Linked DNA regions of Bombyx mori. The protein of the gene in region 2 purifies or fractionates together with the protein of the main gene of each other region. This does not show direct contact. Links are inferred from orthologs where the notes say so. Each region holds a gene or a part of one and is shown on either strand. Other genes may lie near its edges.

The links.
Region 1: the proteins of THO complex subunit 1 (region 2) and THO complex subunit 5 homolog purify together in Drosophila melanogaster (affinity purification with western blotting; 5 studies listed by BioGRID, with this or other methods). This does not show direct contact. The link is inferred for Bombyx mori from reciprocal best matches to the Drosophila melanogaster genes Hpr1 and thoc5.

What each region holds. Positions count from the first base shown.
Region 1 is NC_085114.1:10,647,867-10,656,843, forward strand, and holds the start of THO complex subunit 5 homolog, read right to left. Parts: upstream 5,188-8,977; 5' UTR 5,120-5,187; intron 5,101-5,119; exon of another isoform or gene 4,835-5,100; intron 4,458-4,834; exon of another isoform or gene 3,847-4,457; intron 3,767-3,846; exon of another isoform or gene 3,753-3,766; 5' UTR 3,709-3,752; coding exon 3,610-3,708; intron 3,235-3,609; coding exon 3,097-3,234; intron 2,419-3,096; coding exon 2,128-2,418; intron 1,615-2,127; coding exon 1,275-1,614; intron 453-1,274; coding exon 1-452. UniProt on the Drosophila melanogaster protein: The THO complex is required for cell proliferation and for proper export of heat-shock mRNAs under heat stress.
Region 2 is NC_085117.1:15,874,472-15,883,392, forward strand, and holds part of THO complex subunit 1, read right to left. Parts: 5' UTR 4,882-8,921; coding exon 4,837-4,881; intron 4,758-4,836; coding exon 4,080-4,757; intron 3,572-4,079; coding exon 3,312-3,571; intron 2,495-3,311; coding exon 2,322-2,494; intron 1,403-2,321; coding exon 1,273-1,402; intron 1-1,272.

The DNA.
Region 1 (8,977 bases), on a different chromosome or scaffold from region 2:
CGATATACCTGCATTTTTTAGTAAATAAGAAGTTGCAGGGTGGGGTGAATCATCTCCCGTATCCCCTGGGTACAGTTCATTTAAAATAGAATGTCCATTTAGAACATCAGCAGCAGATACACCAGTGACAGGTTTGGGTAGCGATACAGTAAACTTCACAACTATAATTTTCAAGTTTATGAGGTATGATAATATGAGATTCAATGCAGTACCATCTTCTGCTTTAACTGAAACTTGTACATTTAAAGGATGTTTCTTGAATACTCGTTTTATTTTAGCTTCTGCTTTGTCTTCTTTAGATACGTTTTTAGTTCTGTGATGTCGTTTCTTTTTGGTTTGTTGATCTTCATCATTATTTTCTTGATCTGAATCTGACTCATTTGATGAAATAATATCATTTTCAACATTGTTTTGATCATGCCGGCGAGCTTCATCTTCATCACCGCAAACACCTACAATATGAAATACATGTACATATATTTTTTTCTAAATAAAAAAATACGTTTGAGTGGGTATTATATTATAAGCAAAAACTTTAATTCTATTAAGATTTTTTTCTTCATATGCTGGTAGCCTCGCGGTGGTATGCCAGCTTCGCCGGGCGACTAAGTGAGCTCATGGGACGGCGACCCTTCGGCGCGCACTGAGCGGTACCGTGGGTTTCGTGGAGTCGGAGTGGTGGGGCTCGATGGGGTTTAGTCGGTAGTCGGTTTTGCGGGGTAGCTCTTGCGTGGCTGACGCCGTGCAGTGCCTCGCGCGCCTTTCCCAAGGCGTAATCTCCCGGCAGGAATTGGGAGAAGAGGAGGACCCCTGTCTTCTTCTTCTTCCTGTTCTTCTCTGGAGGCGCCGGAGTCCGACATAACCCGGTCTCTTACCCCCATCGACCGGGTATCCGTAAATGGATTCCCCAGCGTTAAAAAAAAAAAAGGTGAGCTCATGGGACTTTATCCTAAGGAGTTTTCCAACACTAGCCCTAGCAGGCCTGCTTCGCTGTCTACCACCGGATCGGAAACGCGACCTATTGAAAAGATCCGGCGAGAAACTCAGTGGGCTGTGTCTTAGGGTTAATTTGCTCCGTAAGCTCTTTGTCGCAAGCGACGGGTTTGACGAGAACGATGACCGATGCATGGGGTACCTAACTGCACCGATAGTGGATCGGGGGATCCGAAATGGCGTGTTTAGGACGACTGTTTACCCTTTGCTCTGCTGAATTGGGTATGTAAATCTATGAACTTTAAGATGCAATGAATATTTTGAGCTTTGAAATTGCTTACCAACACTAATAACTTTGCTTCCTAAAATATCAGAATATGCGTTTGCATTTTTAAATAGTAGGAATAGTGATGCTGGAAGCAAGCTTGCGGCCCTGGCTTCATCACGTTTTTCATCCAAGCGTAGAGCAAGACATTCTTGCAAAGGTTTAGTGGATTTCAAGACATCTTTCAGATGTGGAGCCAATGCATCAAGTCTAGAACGTGCAGCAGCAATGGCAGCTGCTACTCGTTCCTTGGAAGATATGAGTTCATTACAGGCTTCAGATAATTCACGACGTTGACGTAACTCCCACTCCAGTCGGGCTAATTGTAATTGATGTTCATCAGCCTTTGTGACCTCCTAAAATTTTACACATTGTCATATTGTTGAATTTGTCAGTACCATTACTGCAACAACTCATCTGATCAGTATCAAAGTTACAAGTACTCAGTATCAAGTGTCTGAGATATGTGTGGAATATGTCATATGTATATTTGTAAGGGGAAACAATGTGAATCATATGACTGGCACCCTCACCAGGACAGATTAAAAGCAGTCATACTTCTGTCATGCCTAACTTTCTACTAACCGTTATGATGCTACTCAGCACGATAGCGCTTTAATGTATAAAATGACAATTGGGATGCAATGCTATCGCCCAAAAACTTAGGTAAGCTCTTGGTCCTGAGTGCATGTATATGTTTTGAACTGTTTATATTATTGCAATTCAAGTTTGGCTTCAATATTTAAAAGAAATTCAGGATTTTAGCTACCTACAGCATTTTAGGGACAAAACTAAAAAAATATTCAGAGCTGAAACGGTTAAAATATGTACATTCAGATATCAGTTACACACTGTGAAAACATACTTACTGATCTAATAATATCAGGAGGTGCATTTTTATAGAATTCTTCAAGAGGCACAAGATCTATTTCTTCATCTTTAGATTTGAATTGTAAACATTTAGTTACTTCTTTGTTTAAGTGATCTGCTTCGTAAAGTAAATTTTGTAACAGTAAATGTGTGGAATCAACTCTCTGTTTCTCTTTATGGAGCGCATCACGACCAGCTCTAGTTCGTACTTTCTCCAGGCGATTTAATTTCTTTAACGCAACCAGCAGTAATGAAGCTTCCACTCTTTTTGCATTTATCTTTTCTTTAGCCTGTAATTATAACTTTTGCCTTAATTGCATTGTTCCATATTTTATATTATTTAACATTAATTACAATTCATAATATAATCTAATCATGTCCATTTTTTTTTTTTATTTGTCGAGCCGGGTGCCGAACCTCCTACGAGGTCCCCGCGTCTAGGGGGGTGTGGGACTTTACGATCTGGTAGTCAACACTACAACCAGACACGCGACGCCACCCTGAAGACGCCGGATCGACGAGTCCTCAATGCGACAGTCGACGACAACGAAGCCGGTCTCCGCGGTACGACAGCCCTGCCAGGCCGCCCGGGCGATGCCGCTGGTGTTCCGGGATACCCAGCTGGACCAGAACCAGCCTGCCGGGTCAGAACGCGATACTCCTGCAGACGACGAAGGCCACCCATACACAGGAAAGATGTCCCTCCCCCGGGTAACGACCAAAGTGTCGTCCGTGTAACAAGCTACGCTCAGACCCGGGAGAGGAGTGCTAAGGGCACCCCGCAGGACCCAGTTCGTAGCCGACATTCCACAAGAGAGGGCCAAGGACCGACCCCTGTGGGACACCACGCTCGACGGGAAAATGGAGCACCGCCCCACAGTGCCCGGTGCACACGGCCATCCTGTTCTCGAGGTAGGACCCGACTCTTATTATGTCCTGCATTAACTATTAATTGAAAAGTGGCATACCTCCAATGTTTCTTTAGTTTTTAACTCTGCAATCTCTTTAAAAAGTTGCCTTATGTCTTGGCATGTTTTATTGAAAAAGGCAGCATCCTTATCAGCTGGACGCAGATGAGCTTCAGCTTCTTCAAATTCAACAACACGCTGGAACAATCCATTTAAAACACATTTTGTAATGAATGAAGAATCTTGAAAAATAAAGACAATTTTTTTGGTGTACTGGGATCTTGTTCAGTTTACAACTTCTCTAAGTGTTAATATTAAACTTGTTTTGAAGATCACAAGATATTTCACGAACAGGATTCACTTAATTTTTATTTTTGTTAATAATAAGTTAAAACTGAAACAAAAACTTCAACAGAAAATATAAAAGCAACAGCTTGCTAAACCAGGAGCCACAAATATAAATTCTCATTTATTAGTAGAACTATGTACTTAAATTTACATTATTATACATATTTATGGTACAGAATAATGAGTCTTGAGGTTATGTTACATCTTATATATTTTGGTCAATACCTTGTATACATCAACGGGAACTGGCTTTGTTCCGTCATTTGATGTACTTGTATTTAATTTGCGCCGTTTCTTAACAGCCGTTACTTCTTCTTTTCCCATGTTTAGTTTTATTCAAGTTTATCAGATTTCATCCAAGTCTGGAACTTTAAAAAAATCACTAATTTAAACAGACAATTACAACCTTACTGCCTATTCACTCTATTCACTGGATTTGTTTTTATATATTAAAGCTTTTACTAGCATCGTTCACGGTAATGTTTGAATTATTTTTCTTTTAATGTTAGCCTTTAATTTGAAAGGTAGTCTTTAACTATGATTTTTTTTAAATTATACTTCATTATTGTACCTACTCAGCAATAGACATGCGTAGTTCCGGACCTAAATAGTTCCTGGAACTATGTCCTCATATGGAACTATATCATTCAATCCGAGTTGTCAAAATTAACATGTTCAGACAGTTCCATTTCCATTCCAAGTGTACTGTTATGCAGGAACTACGAACGCGTTGAACATGACGGACATGCGGACATGATTAGAGCATAGGTACCGCGCGGCGCGGAGGCGTGGCGCGGCGAGTCCACCCGAACGAGTCTCGAACCGACACGAGTCCACGTAAAGAGATAAGGCGACATATGGCACGAATACGAGAGAGTGAGATGGAGCGAGTGCATGAAACTGCGTGTGGAGCTCTTTCATATTACATTTTTATTAATATTGAAGTTATGCTCTACGACCTACGTGTTACAGTCGATAGTTGAATAAATTAAAATGTTTTGCTATGGATTTTGACCTTGACCATGCATCATTCCTACGAGCACTTAACCTTAAGTGTTTGTAGACCATTTCTTAGAAAATCATAATTCAAAATTCGAGAATTTTAAAACATTCACCACTTTCGCTATTCGGTATCTCGGTTATGGGAAAAAGGTTGTAAGGCTACAACGAGCTCAATTTACGTTGTATATCAGAATAACGTGGTATTTTAATTAACAACTGATAGGTTATAGTTTTCGGTGCATCGTACAATACCTACATTGAAAAATAATGAAAGTAGTAGAGTAGTTGAAATTATGACAAAGTAATTACAGTACATTAATAAATTATGCAACCAGCTGTAACAATGAACCTAAAACTAAAAACCTTACAAAATAATATTACAATAATAATTGCCATAAGCGGCAATCTATTTTTATATAGTGCTTTTAAAAAATTGTATTTTTAATACCTTTTTTGAAAAATATTGTGTAATTAATAATAACTTAATACGTGATTCGCTACACTACAAACAGTTACTAGACTTAACATGTCCGCGGAACTAAACAGCTTCAAACAGCTACTAGACTTAATATGTCCGCGGAACTAAACAGCTACAAACTACAAACAGCTACTAGACTTAACATGTTCGTGAAACTAAACAGTTCCGCGAACATGTTTACTGGAACTAGTTCCGACACTCAAAAGAACGATGTCATGTTCAATCCAGTTCCGAACATGATTAGCGCACGTCTACTCAGCAATAGCAACTCTCCATAAATGTCAGTAAATGTCAGTTAAGCATCCTCAAATATTACCTATGTGATAATCTATGTGTGCATCTCTCAGCTCATAGATTTCGACTTTTTGGCGGGAATGCGAGGAGTGAAGCTGTGTGATATGTTTTATTTTGTCTATTTGGTATTTCTTCAGGTTTGAATGTATGATAATGGTGGTTTATTACCTGTTTAGTATTTGCGAAAGGGCACAAATGTGGGAAAATGAAACAAAGTCGCTAGACGTAACTCCTCGGGATCCTCCAAAAAGTCCACTGAAAGAATCTCAGTAAATGACCACCATTTTACTGAGATCATAAATATTTCATCCCATATCATCTCATTTCATTTAATTTCATCCCAGTTGATTAGTTATCTAGTTTATTTTATATAAAATGACTATGATCCCTTTGCCTCTTTAAGTACACAAAACAAAGGACATTTGTTTTTGCTTTCCACCTTGAGAAGGTCAAAAATATCACTGCTGTAATCGCGCCAGCAACCAAATCCTTATATTTTGCCAAACCCGGCTTGTAAGGTGCAATTTTGTTAAATAAGGATATCGCTTAATTTAAGGTTTGTAATTTATTATTATTATGATGTGTATGGATTACAAAAAAGTGGAGTAGTGCAAAAATTTTCAATACAAAAAAATTAGATGCCGATCATTAGCCATCCAATTTTACGTAAATTTCATTGTATCCGTTGAAAATGACTAATTCTTAAACCCCGTGAGCGCAATGAATTTGTAATAAACATTTTAAATCAAAAAATATTTTAAAGTAGGAATTATGATTGTACAACCTATGTTTGACCTTGCCGGCGCATCTCATTCGATTAGCGTTAGCAATAGAAGTAAAAGTAATAGAATTAATCCTTTAATACCCTCAATCGATACAATAAATCTTTTTGCAGTATTCAAGGTAAGTCTCGTGACTAGGCTGTGTGCTTTGGAAATCAGAAGTAGTAATAAGTTGAAATAATGGGGTGTTTTATTAAGCAAATAAGAGTGTCAAGATCCTAAATGGGAAATTGGTGGTTGTATTTTAGGTCTCGGTGGTTCTATGTCTAAGATTTTAAAGGTTGCGTAAATTGCTGGATGTGGGCTATGTAAGACCAGTCATTGTGGTAAACCTTGCTTATATACAGCAGTAAATTTCTGTGGGCTGATGATCCTGAGGTCACTGGGTTTAAATCATACTTTCAATTTAATGACTTGTCCCATACATTTCTATCAACAGATGAACAAAAAAGATATCTGAAAAAATTGAAACTAAATTGCCAAATCTAAAATTCACATATACTAAGCATTATATAGAAATACAATAAAATAGTAATTTTGTATTGATTTAACCTTTAGGATCTATTAAAAATTAGTTTTTTGAGATTGAGATTGCAAGTTTTTTTCTGAACTAAATGAAAATTCAAAATTTCCATCAATTTTACACATCTTTTATTTTTGTAAATTGGACAAAGTCATTTGTCCTTTTATCAAGATAGATATACCGGTATACTTTAAGTGTCTTAACCATGTTGATGGGGCATGATGACTTCTAAACTACTGCCAGTGCTCTCCAAATAAAATGAAAAATTTTTTTTTTTCTAGAAAGTCTAGTTCAGTATTAAAAATGGTAATAAAATCAATCAAGGCTCGTCAAATCTTTGACTCTCGTGGCAACCCTACTGTGGAAGTTGATCTGGTAAGTTTTTTGTTACAAATTATCAACAACTAAATTACTGAAATTCTTTGAAAAATGTAAAGTACCTTTTAATTCTGTGAACAGGTAACAGAGCTTGGCTTGTTCCGGGCAGCTGTACCCTCTGGTGCATCCACTGGTGTTCATGAAGCTCTTGAACTAAGAGATAACATCAAGAGTGAATATCATGGCAAGGGAGTTTTGACCGCAATCAAAAATATCAATGAACTCATTGCTCCTGAACTTACAAAAGCCAACCTCGAAGTAACCCAACAGAGAGAGGTAATTATTTTTAAATCTCAAACAAGAGTAGATATTTCGAAAGGACTCAAAAAAAACTTGAGTGTGGTATTAACATTCAATTGAAGTGGAATTAATATTGATAGGATTTTCATATTAACAAGAAATGTATTTAATAGTTTAAAAATAATATTAAATATATTTAAAAAAGTATATGTCAGCTATGTAAACCTTTTAAATTAACAGATTGATGAACTCATGCTTAAGTTGGATGGCACTGAGAACAAATCCAAACTGGGTGCTAATGCTATCCTTGGAGTTTCCCTAGCTGTTGCTAAGGCTGGTGCTGCCAAGAAGAATGTTCCGCTGTACAAGCACTTGGCTGATTTGGCTGGAAATAATGACATTGTTCTACCTGTACCAGCATTCAATGTGATCAATGGAGGATCACATGCTGGAAATAAACTTGCCATGCAGGAATTCATGATTTTCCCTACAGGTAATTTAATTTTTTAAATTATTAGTGGTAGGACTTCTTGTAAGTCAGAATGGATAGGTACCACCAGTCTTCCTGCTATATATGCCGTGAAGGCGTAAAGCATTTCTATTCGTAAGGTGGGGCAGCCATTATACTATAAATTGAGACTTAGAACTAATGCCTCAAGGTTGTTATTTTACCACTTAAAACCAGCTGGGCTGTGAGCTAGTTCACCCATCTACGCAATAAAAAAATCATTGGTTCCAAAATAACATGTCAAGATATGAAGAAAGCCAAAGATCAGTCTCAGTAATAAAACTGGGGAGAGGCCAATATACAGCTATTGAAAACTGTGGGCTGATCATAATGCAGTTCCAAATTAAGTAAATAAATTGACTTCAAAATGAAAATATCATTTTAACAGGGGCATCCACCTTCAGTGAAGCCATGAGGATGGGTTCAGAAGTGTACCACCATTTGAAAAAGATCATTAAGGAGAAGTTTGGATTGGACTCTACGGCTGTTGGTGATGAAGGTGGTTTCGCTCCAAACATACAAAACAACAAGGATGCTCTTTATCTGATTCAGGATGCTATCCAGAAAGCTGGCTATGCTGGCAAGGTATGAGAACACATCTAATAGTATAATAGAAATAATCAAATTGATGGTAGAATTTACGTCTGTTTACCTGCAATTGTTCATATCAATTGACACAAAATGGCTGACTGAACTATTTTAATGAGATTTCAAGTGATATGTTGGAAGTAAAAAAGGCTAACAAATTATGTTTAAATTGGTTGCATAAAAGGATATTATTGTGCATCATATACTCAGTTATTGATAAAAACTTGCAAATAATACCATAAGACTGAAGATATTTATTTATTTGTCACTAAACATAAAATAAAATTATCAAATAATCAATCAATGATAAAGGGTTTTATGAAATAATTGTCACTGATTAAAAGATTACTAGTGGTCGCCCTGTAATCGAAATTCAACTTTAATTAACTTAATTAAAAATTTTGAAGATTATTATGGTTCTATTATCAAAGTCTATACTTCTATAATTACATATTTCGCCAAAGCTATACTATAGACAAATAATATTAAAGACAAACAATATTAATCTATTCTCAATTTGTCCACAGACTTTAACAATAAAAAAAGAGTATATGTGTGTTTGTGTGTCAAATACATGGTATTGTGTGCAAAGCTTTTTTTATTGATTTTATGTATTTTTTATGCTTAATAATAAAAACAACTATTAGCATTCTGCACTCCTTCTCTATATTCTCTGTAAGTGTGGGTTAAAAGGGGTACAAAGTTTTTGCTTCACATATTAATATATATGTAGATACAAACTAGTTGTATGTAACTCAGTAGTCGAAAAAGGGCTGTAATAGAATAAAAATTTTAAGGTT
Region 2 (8,921 bases):
TTTAATTACAAAGATAAATGTCGCGTATTAAGCGAAATGTCGCTTAAACTAAATAGCTTTCACCCCTCGATATAATTACAGTAAAAACACTCGTTGTTAAACCGGAAAATTAGATTCAGTTATGTCTACGAATCACGATTACCCAAGAAAATCTATAATCTATACATCTACAGTGGTTTTTACGGATACTCCGTTATAACTACTGAACCATGCATCCGATTGAATTGAAACTTGGTATCCATGTAGAAAATACATGTACTTAATGGACAGGCTAATATTTATATGAGTGTTGAACTCCCTACACCAGTTTCGGGGGCGTTAATAATGAGAATCTTTGTGGGGGTGAGAAATAATAATGTTAATTTGAAATGCCCAGCGAAGCGGACGGGTACAACTAGTACTATATATACATACATACTTTATAGTACTGTTTGTGATTTAATATATTTTTTGTCTTTCAATAGAGGGACAATAATGTGCACACAGCTATTACTTTAGCCAATAAACATTTTAACTTGAATGTCGCTTTAGACCTCGAGACACCAGATCGAAGTCTCAAATTTACAATACGACTGTTCCACTTTACGAATCGAAGCATCACAAAGTTTTGGGGCAGAAATGGATAGCAAACCTAACCTTACGGGCTGACAAGCTCTCTCTCTCTCTGCCACCGCGAATTACGAACGAATTCATAAAATCCACGCCGTTATTGTTACATCATTGAAATACGCCCAAAACACGTCATTACGGATCTTCCCGATCCATTAACGGTGCTTTTAGGTACCACAAGCACTGGTCACCGTCCTCGCCGAACCCGTCGCTTGCGACGAAGGTCTCGACGAGCGAATTAACCCATAGACACAGCCCAGAGTTTCCCGCCGGATCTTCTCAGTGAGCCGCGTTTCCGATTCGGTGGTAGATTCTGCGAAGCACTGCTCTTGCTAGGGCCAGTATTAGCATCACTCCGGTTTGAGCCCCGTAAGCTCACTTACACGTTATAGAAGGTGAAATAGCCTCTCAAGGCTATCAGTATAGGTAGGGAAAAAAATATATTGAAATAGTTCGTGATGTTAAGTATTTACTTAAAGAAAATACTGGCACCGGCATGTTTAAAAATTTGAAAAGTAACATAATCTCATCACTGTATACAAGTGCGCGAGGCGTCTTACCAATCGGGCCATGTACGCTTATAGGTTTTCGTATTTGAAAATAATTCTGGTTCGTGAAATCAATAAAATGACTATAATAAATAAATGATATTATAATACTCACTTTCCCATATAGGATTTCTTCTGTCCTTCGTATTCCTTAACAATATCGCCGACCGGACGACGCCTTTTGCGTGATTTCTTAACATCTTCAGGGGTGTCCAATTGTGTCGGTGGCTTGGGTTTTTGAAATTCTACAAGTATTTATTTTTATTAATCTATTTCATTCTTCATAGAACCTTCTTTCTGTTACATAATAAAATAAAATCCTATCTTGTTTGTTTAAATGTATATTCTTAAAAATAAATTAAAAATAAATAAGAAATTAAAGCTTATTAGTAAACCTTTTACAGCGCGTTACATCAAGCACAGAGCATTCATTGATCATGTTCTGGCAATAACCCTTTCAGAACCGAGACAAGCCCCAAGAATAAACATTTCCAAAAAAAATGGAATCACCTTTTCGTATAATCTAAAAAAACAGTCCACAACCACGTGAATGGTGGAAATACATAAAGGACAAACACATAAACAGTGATTTTTAATTATATAGATCACTGGCTGTTACAGGCTTTACAGACTTTGCCTGTGTGGTGGAGGTAAAGGTGTCAGTGTAGTTTCGCACGAGAATGAGATGTTCTTTCGGGATAAAAATGGTAGCCTATAGTAGCCTAGCACTCTTGACCAAACACTATCACTTTTGAAAAAATCATGTCAATCCGTTACTTTAGTTTTATGTGAAGGACGGACAAATGAACACAGTATAAATGTGAATTATAATATTATTATATTATTTCCGGTTCGAAGGACCAATGTGTAGAGCGTGGACTGTATTTTGTGCTGGTCGCTTCAATAATTAATATGTATTCAGAGAGAAGGTTATTTTTATTTTATTTTAATTAGTTACAATACGTGCACATACGACCTGAATTGTTGATTGATTTACAATGACTGTGTTGTCAAAATTATTATTCTATTTCAGAATTCAAAAAATAGTAATAAAAACTTCATGTTTAGAATTGCTCTAAACATAGATACACATAATTTTTTCGAATTAGTATCGAGATTAGATTACTGACGACACAAGCACCACAAGTGTCTAATGTTTCTCACCTGGACACCCATCATTTTTCCAGTTGTTCCAATGTTCTTCTCGCTTTAGTATGCTTTTAACGCATTCCGCAAATTTCTTCCCATTCGGTGGAGTCTCACCGAGCAAACGATAAATCTGAGAGGTTGTATCTTTAATCCAATCAGACTGGTCAGATTTTAGTTCCTGCGCTTCTCTAGAAAATCAATAGTGGTTCATTTACATTCCCACATATATGACTCGAGAAGATGTCTATAATTTTTGAAGATTGAGGTAAGTCTTTAGTGTGTGTCTAATCAAACTGATGTCTATGAACGAAGGTGACTTCTTACTACCAGGTGGACCAAGTCCTGGATAAGTCTCAAATTCCAAAAGAAAATTACAGAATATTTCATTCAACAAGCTGCATCTGCATTTACTCTGAATTGTATTGTAATGAAAACATATTGATACTAATATTATCAGTCTAAATTTCGTAATCAGTGGAACTAAAACTAATGGAACAATTATGTAGCGTGATAGTTACACATTGGTAGTCAAAGAGAGAGCGGGAAATATTACCTTAAATAAGCATGTCTATATCTAGAGGCAGCGGTTTGGCTCTGCCCCTGGCATTGCCGAAGTTCATGGGCGACGGTAACCACTCACCATCAGGTGGGCCGTATGCTCGTCTGCCTACAAGGGCAATAAAATATATATATATATATTATAGGCTCTAGAGTAAAACAGATAAGTTGCTTACAAAATGGCAAAGATTTTTGTTTTCTACCTAAGCTGATAGCCTTGAAAGGCTATATCAGCATTAGTTTTTTGAAAACTAGTTACAATTGGAACCAACACACAGTAAATTAGTGTTCAATTTGGTATCCTTAGTTTTTGAAACCTGAATATATTGGATTTTTCATTCAACAAACGGAGATTCATTTCATTATTTGAGAAAAATAATTCATATTACTTCTTTTATAATTACAAAGACTCTAAATAATAATTTGCGATACGCTTACAGTACATACGTTTTGAACTTAACAGTTGACATCAGATACTGAAACAGTATTAGAAACTGTATGAGGACGCATCTTCTGAAGTTCGAATCTGATAATTGCAACTCTAACAATTTCTGATTGGTTAGAAATTTTGCAAAGTAATGCTGCTCTTTGCCTTGACCCTGCATTTCCACGTCAGTCAATGGCTTCAATCGATTCATTTTAGATTTCTGCAGCTCAACTGTCTCTAGCTTGTAGGATGAGAATGCGGACAATACACTACCAGAGTGCTGAAAACATCAAGAAATCATATTTTAATTTGATTGATGATAGCAAAATGACCCAAGTCTGTCTGTATATGTAGAAGGCTAGCGTTGACTGAGACATATATGAAAGATCATAACCAATGTCTCTAAAGTCTTTATGGTTTAAGCTTGAGTGACTTAAAAGAGAAAATCACATGGTGAGCAATAATTACAGAAGTGAATCAGCTGCTGGCTGGCTACTGCTCTTAGAGTAACATGAAAATTTGGGCATTGAGAATAATAGATCAAAACAGAAGTAGTGAGAAGTTCTAAATATTTTTGTTAAGTCTGTTTTCTGTAGCTTGGTTGTGTCAGATTTTTTACAGTTATGGGATTTTTGTCTTATCTGTTTCCAGCATGGGAGTAAAATCATAGATTAAAAATAATGAATAGTTACTGTTTTGTTTTACAATTTAGAACATTAGTGGAGGATTACAGTACAGTCCACAAATAAAAATGCAGATAAGAATTCAATAAATAAAAATAAACTTACTGCAACAAAGGTCTTCCACTGGAGTTTATTGTAACAAGTATTAGGATTTCTGAAGAATTCTTGCAAACTCCAGAATCTACAGTATAAATTGTAATCTATAGTCAGTTTATGTTTTTCATTATCAATAACCATTTCTTCTTCCAAAGCATCTTTCAGTGTACTTGAATTATCAACACCAAATTCCGTTATATTTTCTAAATTGAATTCAGAGACTATATTAAGACCGGAGCGTTCAGAGAATGGAAAGAATTTTGCCAAAAAAAGTAGAATACGTCCACAGAAAACTGTATTTTGAGATCGAGAAAGTCTTCTTAATAAATCATTACACATTCTCAATAAATTATTTTTGCATGCCACGAAAAATAGTTCTTCCTTCCATATACTGACACCTTTTTCAATGTATGAGAATAATTGTTCACATTTATTTAGTGTGAGGGCGTCAAAGATATCGCCAAGTAATACAACAGGCATTGTTGGCGTAACCATAAGTCGCCTGCATGATTCTATGCAGAACGATACAAAATTTTCAAGAGTGTTATGATCCTCAGTAAGTAATTCAAGTAGCTTATCCCTAAATGCTTGGTCCATAGCTGCTTTTCTGTCAGTTTCGTCAGTGTTTTTGGAAAAAGAATCGATGAGGTCAATGTTGTTCGTTGCAAAGGCTTTAGAAAGTACATCCTGAAATCAATGAGTGTTTTTCAAAAATTTTGTCGATTTCAATTTCAAATATTTTTGTAGGTTAATAACCGTATCTTACTTTGTATTTCGTGCGGAGTTCTTCGAATCCTGGTTTGCTCGACATATTGGTCGTATTCGATGTTGTTATTACACTTTTAATTAATTGGCAATCACTATTAAATATTTATGAGATTTTTTTTTTTTTTTTCTTCAATATGGCGATCAAACTTCATTCGGAAGCTTATTTTAGCCAGAGTCGAGTCAGCCAAAGGCGACATAGTAACTTCATCTTGAGGTGTCGAGTTGCCATGATATTCCAGTGTAGAGGGATAGGAGCAGGGACTTTAGAAATAGGCGGTATAGGAGGAACTAGGGCAATATATACATATAGTAAAATATAGTAATGTAAAGAAGAAAAGATATTATAATAAAATATTATGGAAGGTTAGAAAAGAAATAAGAGCTTTAGTATATTTGAAATCAACAAAGGAAAGTATAGTGTAGGAGTCACAAGGGAGAGGAGCACGAAATTTTATAAGGAATTCATAAAGTGGTTTGGATTTGTATTTGACACATTCAAATAATGTATGTTCGATGTTTCCATTGGTATTGCAATGTTCACAAGCATCTGAGTCAACGACACCAATTCTCGATAAATGACTGGGTAAACTACAATGGCCAAATCTTAATCTCGATATGGTAGATGTTACTTTTTTTGGGAAATGAAACTTAGAAAACCAAGGTTTTAAATTAATTTTGATATGAAGACGACGATATCGTCCACCTTTTGATAAACAAGACTTTTCCCACTGGGAGTTCCAATCTTTTAAAAGATACTCCCGAGGCTTTTCTAGTAGGTCTTGAGTATACACTTTGTCAATATATGTATTACCCTGCCTTGCGGCCATAGCAGCTAAATCATCTACCAATTCATTTCCTTGGATGCCCGAATGGCCAGGAATCCATGCTAATGTGACTCGTAAATTTGAATCATGACATTCTTTTAATTTAAGTTTAACCTCAAGAGAAAGCGGACAAGGAGGTTTCTTTTTAAATGGATTTGATAAAAGAGACTGAAGAAAGCTCAATGAATCAGAAAATATATATGAATTCTCTATTTTATTGCAAATTATATATTTGACACATTCAAGGACAGCCATGCCTTCTCCAACAAAGTTTGAAGAAAGATGTGGATATTTATAAAGACGAAAATGACCTGACGAGAGTCTTAAGAAAGCAGCTCCTACGCTTTTTTCATCCGAGGAAACGGATTTAGACGCGTCAGTATAGAAATCTTCCGATTTAGGTTCTAAGTTTTTAATAAAGGAGGCTAATTTTGAGTTTGCCGAGCTTGATCCTTTTTGGATATCATCTATTGATAACTTGATATCGGGTACAAACATTAAAGTCTCGTAATCATATGAAAAAGTTGAGTGGCATTGAAATTTATGAATTGAACAACGTAGTTCTAAAAATCTTCTATAGCTAGAAACTAAGTAAGGGATTTTCCTGTTACGCCAGAAAGCATTTCGTCCATTAATAACTTCACAAAGATTTTGTAGTTTTAAAATTAAAGGGTGTCCATGATATTGTTGAATTTTAAATATAAATCTATCAGAAAGGTATTGTCTACGCAAAGATAGCGGCGGTTCAGAGCATTCTATTTGTAAAGCATTTATTGGAGTACTATTCATGGCTCCAATAACGATCCTGAGACTTTTATGTTGTAATAAATCTAATTTATGTAGAGGTTCTTTGTTTTCAAGACAAAAAGTTATGGAGCCAAAGTCTAATATACTACGTACCAAAGCATTATACATTAACCTAAGTACACCAGGATGAGACCCCCACCAAACGCCACTTACAGCTCTCATAATATTTATGTTTTTCTCACATTTTCTTACAATGTCGTTGATATGAGCGTTACCGTTCATACTAGAATCAAAAATGCGACCAAGAAATTTCGCCTCTTTAACCACTGGTATTCGTTCTCCATCAACAGAAATATTTACGGTGGGAACTTTTCTTTTCCGCGTAAAAACAACTATGAGACTTTTAGATTTAGATAACGAAAGATTTTGGGCAGAGAGCCAGGATGATAACTTGTTTAATGAATCGTTAAGAGTTTCCGCTGCTATTTTAATATCACGGTTAGCAGAGTAAACTAAGACATCATCTGCATATTGTAAGATGGAACAGGAAGGATCAACATTTAAATGGAGATCGAAAGTATAAATGTCATATAATAGAGGACTTAGAACAGAACCCTGAGGGATACCTTTCCAAACTTTTCTTATTTTGTCCTCAAAACCAGGTATATGTAAAGAAATAGTCCTTCCAGTATATAAATTAAAAATGAAATCAATAAATTTTAATGGTAATTTTAAATCCGACATTTTTTCTTTTAATTTAATTAAGTTTACATTATCATACGCGCTTTGAATATCTAAAAAGGCTCCCACAACCGATTCAGATTTCGAAAAAGACAAAAAAATGTCTGTTGCAAAAATGGCATGGCTATCGGACACACCTTTACCTCTTCTGAACCCATATTGAGAGCAAGGCAAAAGATTGTTATGTTCTACGTACCACTCAAATCTTTGTTTAATTAAATGTTCTGCTAATTTTACCAAAACAGATGATAACGCTACAGGTCTATAAGATAAAGGATTATTTGAATCTTTGTTAGGCTTTAATATAGGTATTATAATTTGATGTTTCCAGGAAGAAGGTATTATACCAGTGTCTATTATAGAATTAATTAAATTCAGTAAATATGATAGGGTTATAGGTTTTGAATTAATTAAGAAAGAGTAAGGAATACCATCACATCCTGGAGTGGAGTCTGATAACCGGTTCAATACTAATTGAAGTTCCGGCAAAGAAAATGAACACGCTAAGTTATTATTAATATTAGAGTTATCTGATATATAAGAGTATGTATAAGGCAATTGGTCAAACTTAGGAACCATAGTGGGTGCGATATTGTCCAAAAAAGGATTAATCCATTCTTGCGATGTATAATTTCTAGATGGGGCTATAAAAGAAGATCTAAACATTCTTATATTTTTCCAGATTAGGGAGGATGGCGAATCAGGCGAAAGCTTGGAACAAAATCTTTTCCATCCCTCTTTTTTCTTTTTCCGAAGAAGCCTTTTAGTGGCCGCTTCAACATTTTTATAAAATAAATAACTATGCATGGTCAAACATTGCTTATTAAGTTTTTCTGCATCATTTCTTTTATTGACAGCTTCTGTACATTCTTTGTCCCACCATGGGGGAGAAGATATTTTCTTATGGGCAACATTCTTTTTGGGGATATGTTTATCTGCAGCTGCTAAGTATGCCGTAATAAGGTTATCATACGCCTTGTTTATGTTGTTATAATCATCAAGAGTAGATAAACTTGGAAGGGACATAATTTTCGATTCGACTTCTTGACTAAACAGTTCCCAATCATAGTTATTTAATCTGAACTTAAATAACGGCGGTAGTGGATTAAAAGTGCCTGTTTTACCAGAGGGCAAGGAAATTAATAAGGGATAATGATCACTGCCACAGGACAGCGTTAAACATTCCCAGTTTAACAGTGAAGACAAACTGGCTGAACTAAGTGTAATATCAACATAACTTGGGGCTTGACCCGGAACTGGGCGACGAGTGGGGGACCCATCATTCAGAACACAAAGATTATGATCATTTATTATCTCCATTAAGCCATTTCCCATGCCATCATCGTTGGGTGCTCCCCATAAGAAGTGGTGAGCGTTGAAATCCCCTAGAACTACTATTGGTTTGGGTAATGATTGAATGATTTTGTCTAGTATAGGCAGAACAGATAAATCCTTTTCTGAAATGTACACAGATAGATATGTTACCTCACCTACTCGGGCAGCCACTGCTTGTAAAATATCCGAGTTAAAAGCTGGGATTGGCAAAGAAGAAAATCTGTGATTATTACGAATTAAAAGGGCTGTGCCACCATACCCATCATGTCTATCATGTCTGAGAATATTAAAACCGGCCATACGGAAATTGGAACCTGGAACTAACCAAGTTTCTGATATGGCTAGTAAAAAAATATTATGTGAATTAATTAAAGATATAATTTCATGTTTTTTAGGAACTATACTTTTACAGTTCCACTGGAGGACTCTGTCCATA